2 linked regions of the Caenorhabditis elegans genome follow. The protein of the gene in region 2 interacts with the protein of the main gene of each other region in a biochemical or structural test. Each region holds a gene or a part of one and is shown on either strand. Other genes may lie near its edges.

Region 1 (3,466 bases), on a different chromosome or scaffold from region 2:
TTAAAAAGTAGGTCATGACCTAGTTTTTAACGTGACCTCCTTAAAAAGTAGGTCATGACCTAGTTTTTAACGTGACCTCCTTAAAAAGTAGGTCAGGACCTAGTTTTTAACTTGACCTCCTCAAAAAGTAGGTCAGGACCTAGTTTTTAACGTGACCTCCTCAAAAAGTAGGTCATGACCTAGTTTTTAACGTGACCTCCTTAAAAAGTAGGTCAGGACCTAGTTTTTAACGTGACCTCCTCAAAAAGTAGGTCATGACCTAGTTTTTAACGTGACCTCCTTAAAAAGTAGGTCAGGACCTAGTTTTTAACGTGACCTCCTTAAAAAGTAGGTCATGACCTAGTTTTTAACGTGACCTCCTTAAAAAGTAGGTCATGACCTAGTTTTTAACGTGACCTCCTTAAAAAGTAGGTCATGACCTAGTTTTTAACGTGACCTCCTTAAAAAGTAGGTCAGGACCTAGTTTTTAACGTGACCTCCTCAAAAAGTAGGTCATGACCTAGTTTTTAACGTGACCTCCTTAAAAAGTAGGTCAGGACCTAGTTTTTAACGTGACCTCCTCAAAAAGTAGGTCATGACCTAGTTTTTAACGTGACCTCCTTAAAAAGTAGGTCATGACCTAGTTTTTAACGTGACCTCCTTAAAAAGTAGGTCATGACCTAGTTTTTAACGTGACCTCCTTAAAAAGTAGGTCAGGACCTAGTTTTTAACGTGACCTCCTTAAAAAGTAGGTCATGACCTAGTTTTTAACGTGACCTCCTTAAAAAGTAGGTCATGACCCAAACTTTTGAAAAAATTCAAAAATGTCGGAAAATTTTTCGAAAAAACTTTATTTTCATCATATTTCAACACTTTTTGTGTAATTTTCAGGGAATTCCCCACACAAACCTTGTAGAATACGTGGAATACTGTCCCGGAGACGTGTAACCACTTCTCGCCGGCTCGTATCGAAAGTTTCGCTGCGAAATCGGTGACTGGGATGGACCTGGCTGTGTTCCGCTGCCTCGCGGCTGTGAACTCATGACATATACGATCTCTGCCGGGGATCGATGTGCTGAGATGGACTTTTTTTAAAATTTTAATTTAAAGTTTTTTTTTCTGAAAATAAGTATTCGAGGTGAGACAAACACCAATAAATCGAAAAATTAATACGAATAAAAATTTAAATTAAATATAATTTATTAAATTAAAACTTTCAACTGATTAACCCATCCAACAAGAATAAATTAGGGTAGAGACGAATTTTTTTTGGTAGATATCACATTTGGAGAGTAGAAATCTGAAAAAAAAACTACGTAAATCATGGAGAATTGGGAAATAAAACGAACTCTTTTCCCGAACAATTACTTGTTCTTCTGGTTGGCGTTGAGATAGTGGAAGAGGACGACGAGCATGAGCATCGCGATTCCAAGAATGTTGGCAGCAATTCCGAGTTGAACGTCGCTGATCATGACTGGAAAAAAATAATAGAAATTTCGAAACTAGGGGAACGGCGGGAAAAAATCAAAGAAAATGGCGTTTAAATGGAAAATTCAGTATGTACTGCAGATAAATAGACATAAGGTATAATAAGAACACTGAAAATTAAGATAGATTCGTGAAAACTCAAAAATCTTCGATGAATTCTTTCAAAATCGATAAAGCGAGTTTTTAATCGATTTTACACTAATTTTATTAATTTTTCCTACTTTCCCAATGAAATTTTCTTATTTTCAATGTAAAAATTAGCAAAATTGCGATGAATTTTCATTGAAATCGTGAAAAACAGATGAAAAAGCAAGAAAAATGGATGTAAAGTGGCAAAATACACGAAGAATACATCGGAGCGCATTTGCATTGCCAAGTTGGCGATAGACAATTCTCTGCGTCTCTCACGCTCGCCGCACATCTCTCGTTTATTGATTTTTCGATTGTCCACTAGCCGCTGGCTCCGCAGTACGTCTTCTAAGCCCTACTTCTGTTACAACGAGTATTACGATGAGCCAGAAAACCGAGCAAGATGATATTCCTCTCGCTGATGATGGTAAGTGTTCTGAAATTGAATTTCCTGAAAATAAACTTTTTTTAAAATATTGTTTAATTTTCCAGACGACACTGTAACTATAATTAGCGGTGGGAAAACTCCGAGAGCTGCCCAGCCACTTCCGAAGGAGGAACCACCAGAGGATCCAGAAGAGAAAGCCCGGATGATCACACAAGTGCTGGAACTTCAGAATACTTTGGATGGTAATTCACAGAAATTTCACTTTTTCTATATTGATTTTTTAAATTTTAGATCTCTCACAACGCGTCGAATCTGTCAAGGAAGAGAGTTTGAAGTTGAGATCGGAAAATCAAGTGCTCGGCCAGTACATTCAGAACCTAATGTCCTCCTCGTCAGTATTCCAGTCTTCTCAGCCGTCACGGCCCAAGCAGTAGGTGTTGTGTTGTCCTTTAAGAATCTTTTTTTCTAATTCGATTCCCCGTCCATTGATTGTTCCATTCTCGCCGCCCACATTGGGACCCTGTGCATGATTTCCTGAAACCATAATTGCCCCTTCCACTAACCCCGCTTTAATTGCTCCTCCGATCTTGTCAGCCTTTCAGTTGCCGAAATGTTACCAAAAAGTTATATATTTTATTAAATAAATAAATAATTTTTCCAAGATCCTATTACAGTTAATATTTACAGAGATGATTCAGTTCACGACGACGATTTTGGAGAGTACGAATATTAGAAATTAGGCCGATTGTAAATAGAAGATGTCCATACCACAGTCTTTCGTTCGTTTCAAGAGCTCAGTTTGCACAACAAAAATTCTCTTATCGTGTTCAACCCGCTTATTTTATTTTCTTTACATTTTCTGTACGATTTTTTATCACATTTTTGTGTTTGTGTGAATATATTTAGTGTAGTAAAACTGTTACGAGTGCTCATCTCTTCTGTTGTGTTGTTCTATGCCTTCATTGGGTGACAAACTGGTTTCCGGCGCCGTGGACATTGATTTTATCACATAATTTCACGTCTAACAATGCTATTTAGTTATTTTTCAGTTAAAGTAAATAAAAAACAAAGAAAATGAAACTGGTAAAAGTAAATTTAAGCAATTTTCGAAAAAAAAATTTAATCGAATTAATTTCAAAATGTACCAACTACAGTAGTATCTGCAATTGTGCGTCGCGGTGTTTGCGGAGCATGATTTTTTAGTTCAAAATTTCGAGACCCGAAGGAACTCGGAGGATGTCCAACTGGGTGGATTCCCAACTCGGGGGATTGGCCACGCCCACAGAACCGTGCCTTACAATACGCCCATTTCTGCAACCTCCGCACGGTTTTAAAATTATTTTTTCTTGTTATTTCTCGCTCTATTGAGAAAAATACAGTTTTAAAATCGTGCGGCAGTTGCAGAAATGGGCGTATTGCAAGCCACGGTTCTGTGGGCGGGGCCAATCCCCCGAGTTGGTAATCCCCCCAATTGGACATCCC
Region 2 (5,042 bases):
CTGCTCACCAATGAATCACTGTCCAGAGCTGCGGCCATCTTTTTACATATCGAAGAGGTTCCAAAGTCGAGAGGTTGAATGTTTCCAAAGTTTCCGGTTAATGTCCACCATGTTCTGCAATTTTAGAAATTTCTTAATTTTTGGAAAAACTCAAAAACAAATTTTTTATGTTTTACTACTAATTTTTAAAAAAAAATCCAAAATGCTCGTTTTCACTATATTTCGAATTTTTTTGAATTCTTAAAAAAATAGTTGAGAGTTTTGGCCATTTTTCTTATTTTTAGAAGAAAATAATATGTTTTCTGTGTTTATAGGCACTCTATGTAATAATGACTATAACTTTATGTGTCGATTTACGCAGCTCGTGAAGTCCACGACGAGGAGGGTTTTACTGCTGTTTCGAAAAAACTTTTGAATTCAAATTTTCGAGCCGTTTCTGATTTATAGCGTTTTCGGGAAAAGGATCTAAATTTACTTCAACTATGGAGATTTTTTGTTATACCTCACTCGCCACGCGGATAACGAATTACTGTAGCTTGAGTTGAAAAAAAGTGAATTTTAATCTAAATAAGAATTTTAAAAAAACCTGACGATTGACAGAAGTGACAGTAATTACTTATCCGCGGGGCGAGACCTTTGCTACGAAAATTGTCATTTGAAGTTGGAAAGCGAGAAAATTAACAATTTGAATGATAAATACAAAAAGAACTTGCGAAAATAGTCAAAAACTAAGAATATTATCCAAAAACTGTAAAATTGTCCTAGTTGCGGATTACACGAACTGCGTAAATCGACACATGGCTTTTTTTCGGGCTAGTTTTTTTTAATTCGTTCCAAAGTAGAAATTATTTCAAAATTGCTCCATTTTTCACTAATTTTTATGAAAAAAGGCTATAAATTAGTTTACTTTTTAATTTAAAAAATTGGATTTAACTACAATTTTTTGGTGCTATTCTGAACAGAATTATGAATTTTTACGATTTATGGAACTTTAACAAAATAATTTTAGATCCCAAATTTTAATTTTTCAACCAATTTTTTTAAATCCACAAATAAAATCCAAAAAACTCACTGGCTTTCATTCATAACTTCCTCTTGAGTACGTATCTGCACAGGTGCAATATCCGCTGTCGTCACCTCGTGGTCCTTCAGGCATGCCGCAATTTTTTCGTCAAAGTTGCCGACAAGGTCCTGAAAATAAAAGAATGTTGAAAAGAGTGTGACAATGCAAGAAGTCCAACCTCAAGGGATCCAGAGAACTCGTCATGAAGACGTTCCTCGTCGCTGTTGCTGTTGCAGTGATGTTTCTCGTCTGATGAATGGCTGAAAGTTACAAGTTTTTTTAATTTTTATCCTTTCATCTATTCATATTATGGATACGCAGAATAGAAAACAATTTTTGAAAGTGAAGTGCAAGCGCGCTCCACCGACAAATCAATATGTCCCGCCCCAAAACGTCGGGTCTCGTTAGGAAATTCAAACGTTTTAAATTATTTTTTAACCGATTTCATCCGTATTCAATGAATTTTTCGACATTGTGTTGCGTTTTTGATTGTTTTTCATGATTCTTATGTCAAAATGATATTTATTAATTCATATGAAGTTGAGAAGTGATAACATATTTTCTATTAAGTGTGAATTATAATTCCATCAATTTCGATATAAAAATATCCTAAACAAGAACATAAAACATAACAAAAAGTCGAAAAATCTAGTTTTACCACTAAATACCTAACGAGACCCAAAGTTTAGAGGCGGGGCACTTAGAGACTTGGCAGCGGAGCGCGCTTACATCTCGATTTCAAAAAGCGTATTTTTCTATATTTTTTCTGCGTCCCCATAATATGTATTTCTTCAGCTTCACCCCATCCTCTTTAGGACCCCCAAATAGTATGAAGATCCGATAATTAGATAATGTGTATCTTTTGGATGTGTATTGGGGTATGTGTGTGTGTGTGTGTGTGTGTGTGGATGGCCGTGAGGGGGTGAGAAGATGAGCTTTTAAGTACCCTCTCCTCTGCTGCTGCTGCTCTACAACACTTGGCTCGTTCAATTGGATTGGGGCCCAGTTTTATTGGCATGTTCGAAATAGAAAAAAGATATAACGAGGCCATCGAACGTATGTCAGAAACACTTAGGGAAGCACTAAAAGAAAATTTCTGCGAATTTTTCTTGTTCTCTAGGAATTCGAAGGACCATAAAGAAGTGCACTGATGTTCTTTCTAGGAATTTACAAAAAAATCTAGTGGGAAGTTATAGTTTTGCGATTTTTTTTTCAATAAATGCCCTCTTAATTTGAATTTTTCAGCTCGATAATAAGCTTTTTTTTCAAAAAAAACCTCTACAACCTATTTATAAATAAGGTGGTTTCCAAATATATATTAAAAAAGTGAATTTAAAATTTTTTAATAGGGATATTCATATTGATACAACATTACAGTATTTCTTAAAGGCCCAGAGCTTAAAAAATTGCTACAGTAACCTAAATATCTGATGAAAAATACTGTGAACCTCTAAAACGGCCATGAGTCGATTTACGCAGCTCGTGTACTCCACGAGGAGAAGTGTGCAATTATATTTTTGACTAAAAATCTGGAATTGAAACTATTTTTTTTAGTTTTCTATATTTTTATCACGTAATTTTTTTTCACCTAAAAACACTGTTTTAAACTTCGGATTTAAAAAAATTAATTGGTATGGTCCGAAATCCTGCTTTCTTGCTAAAAACTGTTAAATCCTTTGCAAAAAAATGTACGCTTTTCCTCGCGGAGTACACGAACTGCGTAAATCTACACATGACCGGAGGATCACAAGCCTTCACGATCATAATTCCAACTTGTGAGGGAGTTTGGAATCTCTAGTATCCAGCAAAATTCAAGATTTTTTTTGCACTCTCCCACCAACAGCTTCAAAAAAAAAACTCACTTGCTCAAATTCTTATTACTATCGATATCATCATCATCACACGAGGCGAGCGGAATGTCCGGTACTCGCAGATCTGCAGCCTCCATTGCCACCTCTCCAAAACGCATCGGTACTTTTAAAGGTTTTGGTGAAGGAAAAACGGATGACACACAAAAGTGTGGAAGAGAAAAGAAGAATGGAAACGACGACGACTTTTTGGGATTGAAATTGGGAGAAAGAAGGAGGAAAAAGGCAAACTGACGACGTTGGAGAGATGCAGAGACAAAGAGAGAGAGATGCTAGAGGGCTCCAGCCGCCAAACTAAATGAATGCTCTATGCCTTTGCTCCAAATGTCGTCGTTGTTTGGGAGAAGAAGAAGTAGAAACAGAGCTGCTGCTGCTCTCTTCTGCAGTAGTCACTATGCGCGCAAAGGCAACTAAAGACGAAAAAGAGACGGATAGAGACGCAGAGACATCAACGGAAAACCGCATATGTATTGGATCCCTCCGGTTGTCTTTCTCTGACCGACTCTCTCAATGAGAGTGAATGAGAGAGAGAGAGAATTAGAGAAAGAGATACAACAAAATGAGTGTACATTTCTTTTGCGGGGCGGGGAGTTTTGGTGGGGTGGAATATAGAGAAAAAGAAAAAAGACCCAACACAGAAATACGAAACCCCTTCTCTCAGCAGCGGCGCCATTCTTTTCAGGACTAAGAAGACTAAGAGAGAGAGAGAGAATGTGAAACAAGTATCCAATTTTTTTCGCCTCACACACACCCACAGATGAGCCGAGAATCGGAGTGATTGATGTGCAAGAATGAAGGAAAAGTGCGGTGACATATTATTGTGTCCACTCCTCTCCGATCTAATCGGTTCGCCGCAAAAATAGATGAATTATTTGTTACGAAATCATTTTTCGTCTAGTTAATATAGGAATGGGGGATCGAAGTGAGATTGAGTTTTGGGTCCAACTTCAGAAGACGTTTCCAATGATTTATATCAGGGTTGGGCGGCAAACGATTTTTTTCAGCCAAATCGGCAAATGTCGAATTTGCCGGAAAAACGGCAACTGCCAAAAATGTTCGGCAAATTGTAGTTTTGCAAATTTTTTCTGAAACTTCAGAATTTCAATTTTAATCCGCAAATTTGTACGCATCCTATGAATGTTCCTAAATTTATTTTGAAAAGGGAGCAAATCCTATGAAAATATCTAGAAAAGACGGGAAAAAATTTCAAAAAGGCACAGTTTTAAGCGTTTCCGGCTTATAAAAAATCCCTATAAAAATTTCCGGCAAACCGGCTTTTCGCCGAATTTTTCGACAAAAAAAATTGCCGAACGGCAATTGTCGCTCTTGATTAATACAACTTTTAATTTAAACGAGGAAATTTTTTAAAAAAATTTTAAATAAAAAGCAGTTTCCAGAAGAGTAAGTGTAAAAGTGACAGAACTTTGGCTTACGCTTACATATTTTGGAAATGTGGAAACCCGAAACCTATTCGTGATACGTTCATTGACAATTAAATAGGTGTGGTTCATTAGAAAAGTAACATGATCAGAAAAAATACGATTATCTCTCCAAAGTCATTAAAAAACTGAGTTTTCGATGTCTAACAAGAAACATACAAATTTGAAGAAAAATGTTGCATCTGGGTCTAAAACTAATTTTATTAGCCCAATTATCTCAAGACATGCGCCCGAAAAAGTTTGACCCCTTGACAAAATTGAAAGTTTGTTTCAGTTTTATGATCGAAATAACTATAAGAAAATGATACGAGAACAGAAAACAGTTGAAAGCTTGCAAATTGCCGAAAAAATACGAGTTTTTTTCTCCAGAAGAATTTGGCCGAGAAAAAGAAGGCGAAACTTTTTTGTTTACGACATAACAATGAGTGATTTATGCCCTTTTTCTGGATGAAAGAAGTTGGTTGGACTATGCAGTCAACGATTATTAGACCTCAAAGGGCTCTTTTTTCTTTGGTTTTCGCACCTGCGAAGTGGTAGTGCTCAATTTTCGAGCAGGGAGAACTATAACAAACAATTTAGTGTATGTTGACTATACCGGCGACTCGACTGGTTAAACTCGTCAAAAGAACAAGGGAGAAATTTTTGGAAAAAAAAGGAAAAAAGAGAGAAATT

What was found.
Region 1: the proteins of unc-76 (region 2) and unc-69 form a complex in vitro, tested with the Caenorhabditis elegans proteins (one study listed by BioGRID).

Annotation. Positions count from the first base shown.
Region 1 is NC_003281.10:10,317,109-10,320,574, forward strand, and holds unc-69 (Short coiled-coil protein homolog), read left to right. Parts: upstream 1-1,977; coding exon 1,978-2,023; intron 2,024-2,088; coding exon 2,089-2,226; intron 2,227-2,275; coding exon 2,276-2,414; coding exon of another isoform or gene 2,415-2,418; exon of another isoform or gene 2,419-2,671; coding exon of another isoform or gene 2,672-2,682; coding exon 2,683-2,890; downstream 2,891-3,466. Other genes in the region: Protein unc-50, read right to left, coding at 889-1,022; ostf-4 (Dolichyl-diphosphooligosaccharide--protein glycosyltransferase subunit 4), read right to left, coding at 1,344-1,451.
Region 2 is NC_003283.11:15,069,853-15,074,894, reverse strand, and holds the start of unc-76 (UNC-76), read right to left. Parts: upstream 3,136-5,042; 5' UTR 3,012-3,135; coding exon 2,926-3,011; intron 1,324-2,925; coding exon 1,242-1,323; intron 1,192-1,241; coding exon 1,073-1,191; intron 115-1,072; coding exon 9-114; intron 1-8.